2 linked regions of the Caenorhabditis elegans genome follow. The protein of the gene in region 2 purifies or fractionates together with the protein of the main gene of each other region. This does not show direct contact. Each region holds a gene or a part of one and is shown on either strand. Other genes may lie near its edges. The genes, in order: immt-1 and dnj-9.

What was found.
Region 1: the proteins of dnj-9 (region 2) and immt-1 fractionate together in Caenorhabditis elegans (co-fractionation; one large-scale study listed by BioGRID). This does not show direct contact.

The regions. Positions count from the first base shown.
Region 1 is NC_003284.9:2,680,884-2,689,296, forward strand, and holds immt-1 (MICOS complex subunit MIC60-1), read right to left. Parts: upstream 6,302-8,413; 5' UTR 6,275-6,301; coding exon 6,257-6,274; exon of another isoform or gene 6,193-6,256; coding exon 6,104-6,192; intron 6,058-6,103; coding exon 5,890-6,057; intron 5,838-5,889; coding exon 5,629-5,837; intron 5,584-5,628; coding exon 5,336-5,583; intron 4,868-5,335; coding exon 4,748-4,867; intron 4,698-4,747; coding exon 4,584-4,697; intron 4,155-4,583; coding exon 3,930-4,154; intron 3,863-3,929; coding exon 3,479-3,862; intron 3,393-3,478; coding exon 3,126-3,392; intron 2,443-3,125; coding exon 2,245-2,442; 3' UTR 1,871-2,244; downstream 1-1,870. Other genes in the region: ser-7 (G-protein coupled receptors family 1 profile domain-containing protein), read left to right, coding at 1-66, 923-961, 1,225-1,264; T14G11.1 (Membrane-associated protein), read left to right, coding at 8,110-8,205, 8,254-8,386.
Region 2 is NC_003280.10:4,849,243-4,859,074, reverse strand, and holds dnj-9 (J domain-containing protein), read right to left. Parts: upstream 7,020-9,832; 5' UTR 7,019-7,019; coding exon 6,911-7,018; intron 6,863-6,910; coding exon 6,332-6,862; intron 6,285-6,331; coding exon 6,143-6,284; intron 5,916-6,142; coding exon 5,155-5,915; intron 4,795-5,154; coding exon 4,665-4,794; intron 4,612-4,664; coding exon 4,589-4,611; 3' UTR 4,550-4,588; intron 1,635-4,549; 3' UTR 1,276-1,634; downstream 1-1,275. Other genes in the region: F11G11.5 (Membrane protein BRI3), read right to left, coding at 228-380, 431-552, 654-1,005, 1,098-1,142; nssp-16 (Neuropeptide-Like Protein), read right to left, coding at 7,775-7,846, 8,052-8,228, 8,744-8,863.

The sequences.
Region 1 (8,413 bases), on a different chromosome or scaffold from region 2:
TCGCTGTGCTACTTTACAGACTGTAATGCGACAACAAAGCTTCACCAGCCGCTACGGACCTCCTGTGTGAGTTTTTCTGCGCGGTTTGGATAAAACCAAGGAGACAGAGTTTACATTCATTGAAGATTGAGTAGCGCCAGTGAAGGGATTGTTAGAAACCTCGCAAATGTTGCCAACATGGCCAAATATCATAGTAAAGCTCACAATTTTTTTCAAAAAAACTTTTTTTTTAATGGTGGTAACTACTCAGTTTTCGCCATTTTTTTTTTGGAAGTCTAAGATAAAAAAAATAGCCTACCTTAGGATCTCCGGATTCCAAAAATTAAATTGACTTTTTCCCAAAAGTTGGCGCTGAAAATTAGCTGTGTTAGGAGTATATCATAAACTTAAATTAGTTAAAAGTTTTTAGAACTGTAAAATTTTAATCAATAATAAATTGACTCCAGATTCTAAGAACATGTGCAAAGTGCAGAAACCATCCTAAAACTTATTGAAACATTTGTCATTTTTCTGAAATTTTTATACAGTAAAGAGCAATTTTCAATCATTCTTGTATACCTATCCAAAAACTGCAAACGTGAATTTTTAAAAATTAGTTTTATCACAGCAGAACGCACCATACACCCTGTTTTTTTGAAATTATTATTCAAGTTCACTATGATATTTGGTCATTTTGGAACCATCAAACTGGCGCAACTCCACTTTTAAAAGTCTCCCGTGTTAATAAGGAATGTGGGTGGGATGGTCTTTCTTACAAGCTGTTTGGGTTGAATTTCCATCAGAATTATGTTTGAAACCTAGAAAAACACCATCCGTGCCACTTTTCACAATCACACCACAACAGTCTATTGATAGAGAATCCGCGTCAAACGGCCAAACACAACACCAGGTTATTAATTTCTTTGACTCTGCGCGTTTACAGTCGCTACCGAACCCAATCTTCCAGCTATCGACCGCTTCTGTGAGTATAACCCTACTTATCCATATATCTCAACTGTTATATACTACATCACGTTTTTAACTTTTCTTTCTTCTATTCGAGTGTTACCTTTTTCTTCTTTTTAAAAGCATGGAGTTTGCGATTTTATGCGATTTTTTCTCAGTGTTGGTTTGCGATTTGCTTCCAAACATTCAACGTTTTGCATGAGTTTTACTTCTAAAGTGAAATGATTTTGATTCTTTGCACGTGACACTGTTTCAAAATTGTACGTATGATATTTTCAGATCTCGACGCAATGACAGTCACGAAGCAAGTGACGTCTAGCACACTACACATTATGTACCATTTCATAATTTATTAACTATTTTTTTCTCATCTGATTTATTCTCATTTTCAATTTGTCGGTACACAAGTAAGGTTACGTGACTTTCCTCTCCCGTTGTATAATGCTTCTCATGCTTTCTAGCATTGCAATTATGTGCATTTCAGAAGGTGTGTGACACCTATTGCCTCAACTTTGTATAAAGTTTTATAACTTCTGAATAAATGTATTGGACAGTATAACAACCTATAATTTTGGAAGTCCATCAAAACAGAAAATGTTGGTTACATATTGTTTTGAAAAGTATAGCAATTCGCCAAAACTTTGACTAGAAAAAAAATTGTTTCGGCAGTTTGAAATTACGACAAAAATGTAATTTTTTTTGTAAAATCGCAACTACATAGACGGATAAATTGTTCAAATTTGAAATTTTATTTTTTTTAAACCTCAAAAATTTTTTTGGATATCATTTAAAATATCTCATTAGTAAATTCGGTCTTTTGGATCAATTTGTTAACCACCCGATGTCTAAAAATTGTATAAAAACAAATGAATTTCCTTTTGACACCATAAGTGTGACTTTTAACAATTTCCCCAACTGCCGCAACTGCACTTCTAGAGATTCTTTATTTGTTTGTCTCAAACTTCTACAAATCATACTTATTTCTGGTAAAAAATTGTAAAATTTTCACATTTATTCAATACATCGACGGTTCGAAAAACTACACAAACTTGGAAAAAATTGACGGCGAGAGTTTGGAAAAAAAAACGGGGAGAAAATGTGCACACACCCATCTACTATAAACTACCAACAAGAAATTGGTTTCTAAAAGACACACACACAATACTACTAGCAGCAAAACGTTTTTAAAACATTTGGATCGTTTTAAATAGGGTGAGAAATAGAGAAAAATAAAATGAGTGTAGTGAAAACCAGTAGAACACAATTTTAAAAAACGGTGACGCAAGACAATCAATTGTTCTAATAAGTTGAGCGAATCGAGGAGACGGCGGCGTGAGCCACAAGAAGCTGGGCGAGAAGGCGAGACTCGAGGTAGGAGCGGGTGTCGACGATCCAGTCACGAGCAAGATGAGCTGGCTGACCCTTCAAAAGTTGAACAACGCGAATCGCCTTATCGAGATCACCATTGTGTACGTACTGCTTGGCGCGGGAAAGGATCTGAACAAAAATGTTTCACTAGTCTTACAAAACGTTTGAATTCTAATTTTAAAAAAACTTGATATTTTTTGTACGGACATCGTACGGGACTGGGAAGCTCTCGGAATAAAGAACAAGCATTTTAATAAAAATTATGAGATAAGAATTTTGATTTTTTTGATCGGAATAAGAATGTTGCCATTCGAATCAAATTTATTTTTCACAACGGGGTCATATTTATAGAGACCCGAGTTATGAAGACAAAAGCCCGATTTTTACAAACCTGACAGTTTTTAAACGTGGGTTCATTACGTTACTTAAAGCTGACATATTTTTAATGATATTTAACATGACTACTAATCAACCACGAAGTCATACGAGCGTATCTCACAATCTGGAGTATTCTTATAAAAGTACGGAATTTCTGCCGGATTCTAAAAAAAAAACAGTGGAAAACGCCAAAAGTGATCTGCTAATCTGCTGCCAAAAATCCAACCTCAAAATTTCTAAGAGTCAGGAGCAACGTGGATGGAAATATTTTTAAATTTTTTAAATGGAATCATGACCAGATTTTTATGGAATATGTGAGCTATACAATTTTATGTATCATGTTCAATCACCTAGGGGTTGCAGAGCAGAGTTGTTTACGTATCCGCATAATTATGACCCACTCTAATGTATTCTGTACTCAAATCTATCCTCACCTCATAGTTATCAGTGTTGTTCACATCAATAGCATCTAAATTTCCATACTGTTGTGGCATATCCACGAGGAACAGGGATTTGACGTACGACCAGAAATAGGCTCCTAAGGTTCCTCCGTTCTCATCGATAGAAGCAGTCTTGCGACCAATCTTGTACAGTTGCTCGAAGCGGTTTTTGAGATCCTGCTCAGTGTATGTGCCAACTGTGGTCGCTTGTTTTGGGAACGAGTCGATGATGGCGTTGACAAACTCGTCTTCTGGATTGACCTGAAAACGATAAATTCAGATTAAAATGAAAATGTAGAATAGTAACAAAATGTAAAAAAGTTGATTTCGTTGACAAACTCGCTAACCTCCTTGAGAAGATTCAAAGACTCGTTCAATGGAAGTCTTCTCTCATCAATGTTGTTTCCGGCCTTGTTACCATGTTTCAAAGTGTCAATCAAATTATGGCACGCAATCCAGAACTGCTTGGCGCGACGGTTTTCGTTGTCAAGAGCAACTCGGCTTCCGAGAGCCTCTTCGATTCCCTCCAGTCGGCTCAACGCAGCACCAACTTGCTTGCTGTGAAGATTGCGCTCTTGCAAAACTGCCTCCTCTACCTTCTGATTCTGTTCAATCTCGAAGAGTTGTCTCTGAGTCCGGATGACTTGCTCCAAGTGCTCAGAGTGAGCCGAGGCGGTGCGCTTCAATTGATTCTCCAGCTCACCTTCCCATGATGAACGGCTTTCCACAAGCTGAAATCAAAAAGTGGAATATTTGAGGAAAAACAACTTTTAACCCCAAATTTGATAACAAACTTACAGCTCGTTCGATTTCCAACTCATTCTGACGGCCAACACGGCTCATCTCAATGCTCAATTTTTCAGACGCGATCCGCTCATCGGCAAGTCGCTGCTCTTCAAGAGCCTTTGAGATGTGCAGTTCCTCGCGAACTTGCTGATCCGAAAGCTGACAACGAAGCTGGTCAACTTTGAGATGAGCGTGAGCGATCAATGCATTCAGTTCGTCTTCGTTGAGATTTTTGTCCTGAAAATGAATTTATGTGAACTTTCAAATTTGTATTTTAGGAAACAATGTCAAAAAGGCTTTTCGTTTAGTCAAAAATTTTAAACGTTTGATATTCGACTTTCAATTTGTGAAAAATAACAGAAGCCTTTCCTATCAAATCCTCAGCTGAAATATCTTCCTGAATCAGTCAGCATCTATAAAAAATTGTAAAAATTGTGATCTCAAATATATTTGTACTGTAACTATTTGTACTAAAGGTATGTTGTATTCTTCTGACTTTACCGAGAGTACATATCAACTATAAATATAATTTTTGCTTTTGACTACAAAAATTTCATAAATGCACCTTAGCAAAATCATAGGCTCATTTGAGCCTATTACAGAAATTCATTATTTTATAAAAAACCGAGGATGGACTCCATTCCTTCTATTTTTTTCGTCACTCACTTTAGCGTGAATATCAACATTTGGCAAGATGCTCTTCATCTCAAGAGCAAACTGTTGACGAGACTTCTCAATCAAATCCTTGTACTGATTGAGGACTGCAGATTCTTGACGAGACTGAAAACAATTTTGACAATTTTTGGTAAAAGTGCCAATGCATGTAATACCTTGTTGACCAATGCGTTGATCTCATCAAGCTGATGAGAAAGCTTATTAGCAGTCTCTTGAGCATTCAGAAGTAGCGGATTTGTGGCGGTAGTTGAATCTCGCTTTCCATCGTTCACAATCTGTAAATGTCCGAATTGAGAAAAATAAATAGTTATTATTAAAAATTTGCATTTAATCAAATATTAAACAAGCGTCTCTATTTTCAGTTGCATTTAATTCCTTTTCGTAAATGAGCTTGGAAGAGGTCCTTTTTACAAATTTTGAAAAAAAAACAGGGTCGAAGTATTGCAACAAGACAAAAATCATAGGACCTGTCACATAATAACTTGTGTAGCAGTTCAAAAACAGGCACTAGATAGCCGAACTTCCGCAGACCGGACGACAGATTTAGTCCGGTTTAGTCAAGTCCTAGTTTCCAATGGTCTAACGACTCTGGGTATTTTATTATGAAGGTGTAAGACCAAAATGTGCTCATTAAAAGAATTTCGCAATGAAGTTTCTCAAAAAATTTAAAAATTTTGTGTCATTGCGGTTCAAAATTTCAAACATAAATTTTTTTTTGGGTGTTAGGCTGTACCAAAAGATACCTTGCGAAGGTTATCAATGTAGTTTCTCCCGTCCACCTCTTGGCCACTGTCGACGCGTGCCTCAGCTTCGGCTCTTTGAAGAGCAGAAGTGACGTTTTCCCAGTTGGCGTGCTTAGCATCATCGACGGTTTGCTTGAGAATACTGGCATGCTCATTGATCGCATTGATGGTCTTCAGCTTGGCCTCAGTGGCTAAACGCACTTTTCCTTCAGCAGAGTGAATTGCGATTTTAAGCTTCTCCTCAAGTTCTGTAACTTTAAACTGTTATGAAAATTACGCTTAAAAAATCTTACGTTGGTTCTTGGCAAAGACGACATCTGGAGAAGGTTTTGGGATCATTGGGGTCACATCTTTGCGAACATCCACTGGGTCAACATGTGTGGGCTCTCTTGGAAGGACAGGCGGCAGTGGCGCGAGCTCCAATGGAGGAAGAACTTCCTTCTTTTTTGGGACAGCGTTCACTACAGCATCCTTGAGGTCACCGATCTGTTGTTTTGTCTTCCTGAAAAAGGATTATCGTTAAGACTGTCACTTTTTTAGTAAATAAAGCTTACTGCAAGCTAGATTCTCCCAAAACTGCGTCGAAAACTTGTTTCACTGGCGGAACAGTGGATTCGACTTTGTGACGGAACTCAGGGTCGACATACGCGTATCCGACAACACCACCAGCTCCAACAACGGTTGCTCCGACAAGAGCCAATCCTTTGCCACCTCCGGATTTTCTGAAATACGACGCGTTTTTATTATCGATTTTGGTGTATGTTTTACTTTGGTGGTTGAACTGGTGGCTTCGGTGGAGCAGCGGCTTGATTTGATTGTTGACGGGCTCTTTTCAACGTCTGGCTGACTGATCGCTTCTGAAATGAAAAAATTATACATTTAAACTAAAAATTGCATTTTTTTAATGAAAAAAAAACTCACCGATGCAATACGAAACATTTCCGCGACGAGCAGCGAATAATTTACCTAAAAAGTAATAAATTTTACAACGAAATTTTATATAAATCAAGAAAAAATCAAAATAATCAAGAGAGTGCAATCGAAAAAGAAATAAACATATTGTTTAGTGTTCGAAGATTAAGTTGCGCGTCATGCACGAGAAACGCGCCAGCAATCGATGTCTGTGTATCTTTTGTAAGTGCGTACGGGACGACGGGAAGAATGGCTGTGTGGGGAGGCATTGGAAGAGTGTGGCAGGGAAACAAAGGGAAATTGCCGATGCATTAAACGTTTGGGACATTTTGAACGCATAAACCCAAAATGAGCTCAAATAAACGAATTTTATAATGAAACTTCATTAAAAATTTTCAAAAAGTAGTTTTTGCCGGTTGAAAATTTCGAAAAAAAAACGTATTTCAAGTGAAATCTCCAATTTCGGCCATTTTTCCGTATCGCACACCTGGTCCATAAAAATTTTCCAACACTTTTAAAAGTGATTATTTAATCAAAACGCGGAATTTGGTTGTATTTTTAAGCTTAAAAAAACTTTAGTCCTAAGCCTAATATCGACAAAAAGGGTAACGTTAATTTTTCAGAATTGTAAACACTACAGAAGTACCGTAATTTTGTTAATTAAAATACATTTAAAACCGATAGGAAAAAATTATAGTATTAAAATAGCAGCTTTGGATTACTACGACTTGGAAAAGTGGCCAAATTTAAAGATATTTGAAGTGCCATAAACGTCCTAAAATTTTATGCAACATGAATTTTTACTGTTCTGTGTAACTTTTCAATTTAGAAATCAACATTTGTACGCAAAAAAGTGCAGCAAAAGTGCAGCATATAGTACCAGATATTTCCTTAAACTTCAGAAAAATGTTTGCTTTATTTGAAAACATCTTTAATATAATTCATAAAAATAAAAATAAAAAACTGCTTAGAAATTGTCTCTAATTTAATAAGAGCCGGAAAAATATCCCACAAATTATGGAAAATAATTTCCGGCAATTTTCAACTTGCATACTATTTTTGAGCATTTTTACAGTTGTTTCATATTAAATAAAACATTACTTTTAGATTAAAAAAAAAGTGTTTTTCTATATTTTATTTTTAACATTTAATAAAATATATCACTTTTTGCTCATTTTGGCTCATTTTGTAGATTTGCCGAAATTGCCGCGCACCCCTGATATGTACACTTTACCGGAAATTTTTAAAAATTGATAATGCACTAAAAAAATAGTAGAAACCATTAGAAACCAGTGTACAATTGATAAATGGTGTTTGTATCTGGGCATTTCATGTTGAAAAAAAATCGCCAAGGTCATTTGTTTGGTTAGGCCAGTGTACTTGAAATTGGTAGTGTTAGAACTTATATTTTATTTTTAAAATAATTGATTTTCAATTTCTTTTTTCATTTTTCTTCCAATTAACTCTTTCCATTCAAATAGAATTTTGAAATATACAAATTCTCAGTCACCATACACAACTTATTAAAGCGCAAGAATTTTAACATGCCCAGCAATGCTTAAGAGACGCAGAGTATATTCACCGTAGTTTGAAGCGAGGGTCTCGAAGCGATGTGGCAGTGAGAGTGGGGCTGCCTTTTCCTCGGGTTTGCACCCTCTCATCCGCCGCTATTGATTCTCTTTCTTTTCTCAATTTCCCTCGGGCTCGATGGGCTCGCTGCTTCTTTTCATTTTCGTGTTTTTTTTTCGTCAGCAGGCACATTGAATAAATATTCCGAGGCAGGGTCACAGAAAATTCTATGTCAACTTTTCTTTACTTTCTTATTTAACTCTTACTTTGTCCCATTTAGACGTTTCCAGAAAATGTTTTTCTCCAAGCTTGGATCATTATGCACTAGGATGGATTTTCGTGATGCCAATATTCCAGCCGCCTCTTTCCACACCGTTGCAGCTATTCTGGTAAGCTTTTGCACATGACTTCAATAATAGTATTCTCCAATATTTCAGGCAATTTTCGCAATGATGTCTACAGACTGGATTCTCATTGAAGATATGAGCACAAAAAACGGCACAACCGACATCGACGCTTTGCAGGTGGCTCAACTTTACATGAAGAACACAGAACCCTGTCATGCAATTGGTAAGTCTTGTTTAGCATTGCAAAAAA
Region 2 (9,832 bases):
GGCTTCGAGGGAAAAGGGGGAGGAAGAGTGATGAATTCAGTATCTGAACTGACTTCGTTGCATAAAATACTAAACATAAAACGGTAACACAAAAACACACTCGTGACCAGTACAGTTCACTAATTTTACAATTTTTGATTATGGTATGGAACAGTTAATATGTCTACTTGGTAGGAAGGGGGAAATAATAATACTACAGCGGATAAAATATAAATTGAAATTTCTTCTTAAGCGAGTCGATTACAGTGAGTGCATCGATTTTGAACGGTACACGGGACACAGCACAAGAAGATCAATCCAAATGGGAATGTGAAGATTGTGAGCATAATCAGACATAGAAGACAGCACATATCAGTTTGACGAGTGATCACTCCAACGGTCTGAAAGTTTTTTAATTGATTGATTGAATAAAGATTTAATCAAAGCTTACACAACGACGGCATGGTGCTCCAGGTTGAACATGAACTATGACATTACTTCCAGCAGGATTTTGAATACGAACTGCTCGAACGATCTGCTCAATTGCGGCCGGTTGTGGGAGACGCGTTTGTGCTGAAAATGTTTAATATAAAAAACGGATTACTTATTTGTTATTGTTTGAAATTAAAAGTTATTTGTTGCTTTCCGAGCTTCAAAGATTTATTAAAACTTACTAATCTGTGGTGGCTGGTAGTAGATCGGCGGTTGCCCTCCATTGTGATATTTAGGATCAGTCGATCCACCGTACGTCGGTGCAGCTGGATATGACATGGCAGCCTGATAGGATGGTGGTGGCATATCGTAGGAACTCATAGTAGGAGCTGGTCCAGCAGAAGCATGCGGTGGTGGTGGTCCTGCTGGAACTGGAGCGCTGACATGAACTTCTGAAGAGTTTTGAATGTCTGTGCTGGGATAGACAAATCCAGCCGGTGGAGGTGGACGAGACGGCGATGTTGGCTGTTGCTCGGGAGCTGATGGAGCCGATGGCTGAGCTGATGAGCTTGACATTCCTTCGTCAGTTGGAGGCTGAAATTTTATTTTGAATTATTTTTAATGTATAGAACTCGAGAAAATATAATTCAAGTTCAAATGGCTTTTTAATCAAAAAAAAAACTCACACTGTCTGGAAGAGGCTGCTTAACTGGATCCTGATGACCGGTCATTTCTAGAAATCTGAAAACGTGAGCGTTTGAGTGAAAATCTCGAGAATAATTTTACAAATGAAAAATGAATGCAACGATTGGAAAATAACCAATATTCCGAGAAGAGTTCAATTTTATAAAAGATCTTATTATTTTTTGTGGTCTTTATCTATAAATATAGCCTAATCTAATGAAAAAGCGAATCCTAATGAAATATTAAGAAAAGAAGAAAACACGTTGTCAAATATAAATAACCAAGAAGAAAAGAAGAGTCGACTGTACTGGGATTTGAGCAAAACACTGAGAAACAAAAATAGAAAAATTGAGCATTCTGATTACATTTAATTTTTTTAAAAAAGGCAGAAGGAGAAACAAATTATGAGAAAGACATAAAAAAAAGAACAAATCAAACAAAAAAACGGGCTATTTAAAGAAATCTGTTCAAATACAAAAAAAAAAAACAAGATTTGGCGTTGGAGATGATTTCCCTTGGTTGCAGACGATGTTTTTCTTCTGAAAAAATAAATCTTTGTTTTTATCGATTTTTTCCTAAAAAACACAGTGAGTGGTGGTAATGGAGGGTTCACTTTGTGATAAAAATGTATTCAGCGCGGACAAAATGATAATATGATAACACTGGCCAACGAATGAGACAGAGACTGAATTGACGAGAGAGTGAATGGAAGAGGAGACGATGAGAGAAAAATCGTTTGAAACAGTGTTTGCTGCTGTGGTCGGTGTGTCCCAGCACTCTATATTAATATGATAATTTCAACATGCAACAGTGACATTTTATTCAAAAGAGCCAGGGATACCACCGATGAATGTTAAATAATCAAAATTATCACAATTGAATAATCTGGGTTACTGTAGTTCAACTATCTGGATAATTTCGAGAGGAACAGATTTGATTGATAAAAAAAAAGCCAAGCAGTTTTTAGCTTTTGTAGGATGTAAGTTTTATAACTTGACAGAAAATACCTATTTTGGCAAAAAAAAATTTCTCGTTTTCTATAGATTTCAACAATAAAAACGTCGATTTGCCTCTGACACTTGAAATTAGAGACAAAGTGACTATTTTAATTTTAAATTAAAAAATAGTAAGCGAAAATATCCTACTATCAATAATATTATTACCCATACGCGGAATATTGCGGCTTTTGTGCGCCAAAAGTACGGTACCGGGTCTCGACACGACAATTTTGTTATATGCAAACTGATAAGATTACTGTAATTTCAAATTTTTGTTGTTGTGGAATTTTAATCGATTTTCTATAATGTTTCTCGCGATTTGTTAAAATTATTATTTTAATCAAAAAAAAAATGAAAAATTGATGGAAATTCGAAAGTTTTTTTTTTAGAATTTTCAGTTTTTTTGTCGTGTCGAGACCGGGTACCGTATTTTTGACGTAAAAGGTAATAGCAGAAAGAAAATTCAGAGCTTTCTGTGATTGGAATTTCTGAAAATTAACTATTTTTTGCAAAAAAGCTAATATCAATGTGAACAATCTCAAACACAAGAAGCGTCTGCTTCGTTTGTTTTCAATTGAATGTGAGATATGGATCTCTAGTCTCGCGCGTTTTCTAATCTCAATAGGGGAAAATCAAAAGAAGATTATGCCATATGAAATACATTTGTCCCGTGTCTGACCACGAGATCTTTTTTCTTTTTAATATTTCGCAATATTTCAGGTATTGTTCTAGAACATGTTCTGATAACACAATGAGAAATATTCTAGGCGAAAATAGTTTGTGGGGGACAGTAAATAACTAAGAAAATTGAAAAATCTTTAAAAAAAAAACAAAACACATGTATTAATGTTTTAGAATTTATCCCTGGAGACGTCAGACCGAAACAGAAAGAAAAAAGAAGACGTTGTGTAGTAGAATACAACAACCATGGCGACTTCAAGAAGAGGACGACAACCGGTTTAGTGATACAATAGTCAAAGAAATTGGCAGAGGGAGACGAAAATGTGACTCATTAAATTTTCAATGAAATTCTTACGAATAATCAGTATAAAATTTTCAACTTTTATGATATTGCAAATTGTATCTGGAATATTAATCATTGAGCTAATAAAAGCATTGTCGCTACTCAAAAATCATTGAATTAGTTATTTTTCAACAATATATCCAAAACTTTAATCAAATCGATTTATGAACAGCTAAAACATTCGTCATTCTTGCTCGTTAGGATCGAGACGAACACAAGATAGAAACATTCTAGAGAAAATAGAGAAAAATGAGCAAATCAGAGTGCAACTTCCGGGCGGAAATGGAAGGAAAACGAGAGAAGATAGAGAAAAAAGAAGAAGACGAAAAAATGTAAAATCTGTCAACGATGAGAAGACGAAATATTATTACCCATACGCGAAAATTTGCGCCAGAAATGCGGTACTCGGTCCCGACACGAAATTGTTTTTAAATTTTAGTACTGTAGTACTAAACTTTCGTTCTGGTGGAATTTTAAAGAATTTTACAGTTTTTGCAAGATTTGCAAAGTTTTTAATTGTTTTGTAGTTTTTCAAGTAAATATGTTTTTAACGGAAATCTATGAAAATTCGATTGAAAAAAGCGTGTCGAGACCCGTATTTTTCGCGAAAAATCAAAAAATTTTTGGTCTGGACAATGTTGAGAAGTAGTGGAGGTGAAGAGAATTACGTCACTACAGTTGACCCGATTGTTGCCTCGCGAACCAATTATTGAATCGTTCTCTATCGAAAACTGTCTCTAAAGTCGAGTGAAACGGGCGTTGGGGGCGTCAGCTGTTACCAGATAGTTTATTGATTTTAGCCGCAGGTGTTTTTTTAATACTTCTAAAACAAATGTTCAAGAGCGGGGGGACAAACTTAAGAAAGTGAAGAGTAGTTTGCAGAAAACTAGATGGAATAAATGGTGAACAAGGCACTGACATTTAGTTATAAAAACAAAAATCGAACAGCTGAAAACAAGGCAGAAAGTGTGACAAATCTTCGTTTTAAATTCTAGAACATTCAAATGTTTCGTAACTATTTCGTTTCGAAAATCGAGGAATAACAAGGAAAGTGAACGTGGGTGCGCTCTCTTTTTCTCTATTTCTCATCATCTCTACTACAATCGTGTGGAATACATTAATGATCTGTCAGGGTGACGGCCGTTTTACGAGTAAAGATTTCGGAACGGTGAAGATTTTTAATTGAAGTTTTTTTTTTCTATAAAACTGATAGCCAAAAAAAAACGCAACTTTTTGTGTTTTTTTGAGTTCTTTTTGAGCTTAATTTTGATGATGTTCAGAAACTTGTGAGATCCAAATAGTTTTCAAAAAATTATGTAGACACCGCAAAGTTCTGACGAATTTTTGGATAAATTAGACATTAGAGAATTTTTTGAATTTTGTTAGCAAAGATCAGCTCCACAATCACGTTCACATGCAAAAAAAAACTTACCGCTGACTGACTCACTCCAAACCATCGCAATGTTTACGTTTATTCGCTGGACAGGCGGTGAGCTGTAAAAATAAACAAAAATGCTGACTTCTTAATCAATTTTTGATCTATTCACCTCTAAGCGGGAGCATCAACGGCATTTCGTCGGCAACCGTGCAAGAATGCTCTTCTCCACGGAAAATGTAGCGGACTGTGAGCATTTTGGGCTCTCCGGGGCATGGATCGTAGAATCCTGGTAGTTGACTCTGAAAATGATTAGATTTTAGTAGTGGAAATTTTTGAAATTTTCATAAAACATTTGTAGAGTAAAGATTTAGTTTTTTGATAAACTAAGCGAAGATGCCGGTTTTTCGTTTTTCCGATATTTTGAAAAAAAAAACCATTTTTGGAAAAAAAGCTTAAAATTTTGGTTATTTTCCTTCTTTTCATACAAATTTTTTTTTCTTGTTGTTTTTCATCAACTTAAACTAGATTTGAGAAACAAATTTTTATGGTCAATTTTCTAAATTTTTTTTTTGATTTTTTCAATTTCTCAGAAAATCGAAAATTTTTGTTCTTTGATTTTTCGATTTTACGAAGAGGCTTTAAGAAAATGTATTGCTTACCTTAACGGTATAAACTCTCAATTGACTGTCATTGACCATAGCTTGAAGTGGAACTGTGACGTCAATCGTTCGTTCTCCAGCCAATGGATAAGCTCTTGTTCCACTAACATCACATTGTCCATATTTTGCACTTTCAATGATAACTCCTTGTTTTGATTCTTCATCTCGTTTAATTCTTTCAGCAGTTGCCCTCATTAAACTCACAATATTCGCGGCTTCTTCTTTTTTAGCAACATCAACTTCTTGTTCACGAGAATTATCCTCAAACATTGATTTAAACTTTTCCCACCATGGACGGAAGATCACTTTAGCAAGTTGGAATGAGAAATATGGAATTGCGACTCCATACAGTACACTTCTTGAAAGAGCTTCTTTGTCATCACAGAGCACAATTTGCCAGTCAAAAGTTGATTGTCCAGCTTTTAATTTGAATTTCGTATACAATAAACATGATGGGAATGAGAAATGGAATGAGCATGATATTCTTGAATATCTCGACAATCTACGATCCATGCTTATAGCTGGATTGACACCATATGTTGTCAATTGAACAGACATTTCGGTTATTGAATCATTTTCCGGCTTCCGAATGTAGTAAACTAGACGAACATTCGAATTAATTGGAGATAACGTCAGACTTCCTACAGCCTTCGCATGATTATTCTCTGTATGGACCATTGTAGTTGTAAGAGCATTTGCAATTGGGGAGATGTTCAGTACAATACTTCCTTGCCATCGAGTGTGCAACCGCATTGAGTAAACTGCAAGTTATTAAAGTTTTTTTTTTCGGAAAAATGCTAATTTCATTAATTTTTCGAATATTTTTTGGAGAATTATTGTGCAAAATTGAGAGTTTAAAAAATTATGTACATTTTATTTCTTGCAAATTTGTACAAAAATCATGAACATGGAATCTTGCAGAAAATTGAAGAATCAGTAAATAGGCGGTCTTTTTCAGAATACACCTTTTTAATTCTATTTAACATACTCATGGCAATAGATGGAATAATTGCTTCGTGAAGCATATTATATTGCAACTGCGGCTGTACGATCACTGCAGCTCTGGTGAAAACATTTCGAGCGGCACGACATGTCAATGAAACAGACTCGGCGGATAGTGAAATAGTGTTCTGAAGTAAACATTTGTATCATTATAAACTTCATTGTATCATCGTACCTCTAGATTATAACTTCCAGCTACTCGTTTCCAAACAGCTGAAACACTTCCATCTCCACGTCCATTTCCAGTTTTAACTCTCCCCGAAAGACCGAAACGATCAACACCAGTAAATGCACAATCAACAGATTGAGATAGTGAAATTCCTAATAATTGAGGAGGATATCTATCTTCATCGTTTTCTTGAAACATTCCAGCGATTGTCGTTTTTATCATAAAAGCACTCGTTGGATGAACTCGTTGGAGCATCAATTCTCGATCTTTCAGACGTTGTAGGAATTCATATTCCTTCCGGATGTTTTCTGGATTAGCAGATCTTGAAACCAACTCCCATCCCTGTGTGTCAAGGCCTTGAACTCCAAGAGCATCGTATATTGCTCGTTGCTTTGGATCCAGCAAGACTTCATGAGCTCTCCGAAGTTTCACAAAAACTCGTTCAGCGTCCTTCTTCTCGTCATTATCGACAAATCTATCAGGATGGAACATGAGACATCGCTTTCTGTATGCTTTGATAATTTCATCATCTGTCGCCTGGAAAATAATAGGTTACGGTTTTTTTCAAAATTACAATTTAAATACATCTTTCGGAACATTCAGAATTGCGTAAAAATCGATTTCCTCCTCTTCATCGAGTAGCAAATCTCCGTCTTCATCGCCACATATAGAAGAACTTGAGGACATGGACATCCTGTAATTTTTTTAATTTTTAGAAATTTGATATCACTGATGCAATTTAAGGGAAAATACTTTTGACACAAAATAATTAATAAAAACATCAATATTTGAGTGCACTCTTAAAAATTAAATCAAATTTCGAACTTCAGACATTAAAAAACAAACGAAAACATTTTTTTTGCATGACAGTTTCAAAAAAAAACAATTGATCGGCAATTGCGCCAACCCGCACTGAAAAAGCGCCAGCATAACCCCTTGCGCGTTTCTTGATTTTCAGCGGGAGTTTGAACACGAGTTTTTCAATATCAAGAAATTGGCAGTTTTGGTCGAACTACTGTAGTTTTATACTGCATTTTTTTATACTGTATTTTTACTTTTCCATAGATTTTCCAGTCTTCCACATAAAAAACAAAAGATATGTGTTTATTGCATGATGCGGTTTGTTCATTTCAATTCACAATTTAATGCAAAATCCAATTTATCCAGGCGTAAAGGGCACTGTGTGGCATATACGGAGAGATCTTAAAATAAGAATAGATCACAATCAACAAGGTAATATCAAATTATTCAATTCTTGTTGGAATTCAAAAAAAAAACATAATAATAATAATAAATAAGGATTGTTGTTTTGTTGTTTGGTTGGTTGGCGAGATGTTGGTGGAATGTAAGGTGAGGGGGCGTTGGCGATAAGATCAAGAGGAGATACAGAAGGGATTACGCTAGAATGACGTGTTGATGGTTCAGAAGATGTTACTGAAGAATTGAAGACTACCGTGAAGCAGCTGGAACAGGTGTCATTGTTTCCCTTTCTGCTTGATCGATCGGAGGGGAAACTGAAATCTAAATATTAATTAATCAGATTACTTCGTGATCTCTCTAGTTTTTGTGTTAAGAATTTCTGCCATTTATCACGTGGTATTGCACAAGTTCAGTCTACCCGACAGCTGGCATTTATTCATGATTTTTGACGATTTCCCACATGAACAGGTGAAACCATTTTGTGCAGATGAATTCTGACGCTACGATGCTCAAAGTTCACACTAACCTCGAAAGGATCTGCACTAAACTCGTCGGTATAATCAGAAATCGGTTGACCCCGTCGTTGCCTGTCCAGTACATCAGTGAGAACTGAGAACTCGTCGAAATAACCATCGGGTATGCTCTTTCGATATCTTCTCAATACTTGTTCATTATCAATCATTCGTTCTAATTTTTGTATTGTCTGAAAAATAAATATTTTAAAATTTATCTCAAATTATATGTGGACCCCATTTTGAAAGCGATGCTCAAGCTTGCTCCACGGTAAAACGCTCCGCCCCCGAACCATGGGTCTCGTTAGGTATTTGGCGCAAAACCGTAAATTTAAATGTTTTCAATTAGTTTTGCCGATTTCACCCGCTTTGGGGCATTTTTTGTGATGTTCTCCGTTGTAAAAAAAGCATTTATTACATAAATTTTGACATAAAAATTATTATTCAGAAACAACGGAGAATATTTTTAACAATACAAAAAAAAACCTGAAAACTTTTACCTAACGAGACCCAAATTATGAGGGCGGATCGTTTTCATTTTTGCGTTGGAGCGCGATTACGCTTTAATTTATATATCCACGAAAGTAATTTTCTAGAGTTTTTACTTCTTGAAATCCATAATTTATGTCACTTAACATATTTTTGATATAATTTAAAAGTCATAAATTAAACAAATGTTTAGATCATAAGAATTTGATCAACTGACCTGATAATAAGGTGTAGGTACTCTCCTCACTACCATCATGGGACTGGAGGCTATGAATTGTGTGAGCAGTAATACGATAAAGAGAAATCGAAACACGAAGTGATTATAAGTGTTGCTCATTTGAACACACTTGTGATTTACCTGAAAATATTTATGTTTCAGATGAGAAATCTGATTTAAAAAAAAAGAATAAAGAGAGAAACAGAGATGATTGTCTAGAAGGAGGAGGAGCTTCGTTTGCAGATGTTTTCTGAAACTAATGACGTCGTTCGAAACAGTATTGAAAACATTGAAAGAGTTGTTCTTCAAAACAACACATCGTTTCTTTTGGGAGATATATAGACTTCTGATCTAATTATTCAATCTACCATAACTTGATAAGGAGTTTCGGAGAGGGGGGAATACATCATGTCGGGTGGAGATGACGGCGACGGACCGGAAGTAAATTACGCCTGGGGTCTTTGGAATGAGAGCACGACGGAGCAGCAAAAATAGAGCAGAATACACGAATTACTTAAGCATGATTAGCCACCTCCAACGCCATTTCATTTCGTTTCATTTCGATTTTTGATGTGATTTGGAGTGAAGGTGTTCAATTGAAAATTTTGCATTTTATCTCCAAAATATGGCACCCGGTTTTAACACGACAAAGTTGTGTTAAATACGAAAGGGTGTGTGCCTTTAAAGAGTACTGTAAATTCCAGTTTTCGTCAATGCGGAATTTTCATAGATTTTCTCACGATTTGTTTAAATCCATATGTTGCACTCGAATTTTTTTTATCAAAAATCTATGAAAAGTTGATGAATATTCCGCATCAGTTGGAAACTACAGTACTCTTAAAAGGCGTACACCTTTTCCTTTTTTTCACAAAAATTGTCGTGTCGAGACCCGATAGTTGTTGCTGTATAATAGGAAATTGTAGGATTTTCGAAATTTTAACACTTCCATGTCATGAATCCGTACAAAATCTTTTGGGTGGGCCAAGAGAAGATCAACGTTCAGCTCAGCTTCCAAAAATAGGGGCGAGAAGCAGTGGAAAAGCGGATTAGCTATTTTTAGAGAGAGAGGGAGAGTATGGGCGGAAAGAT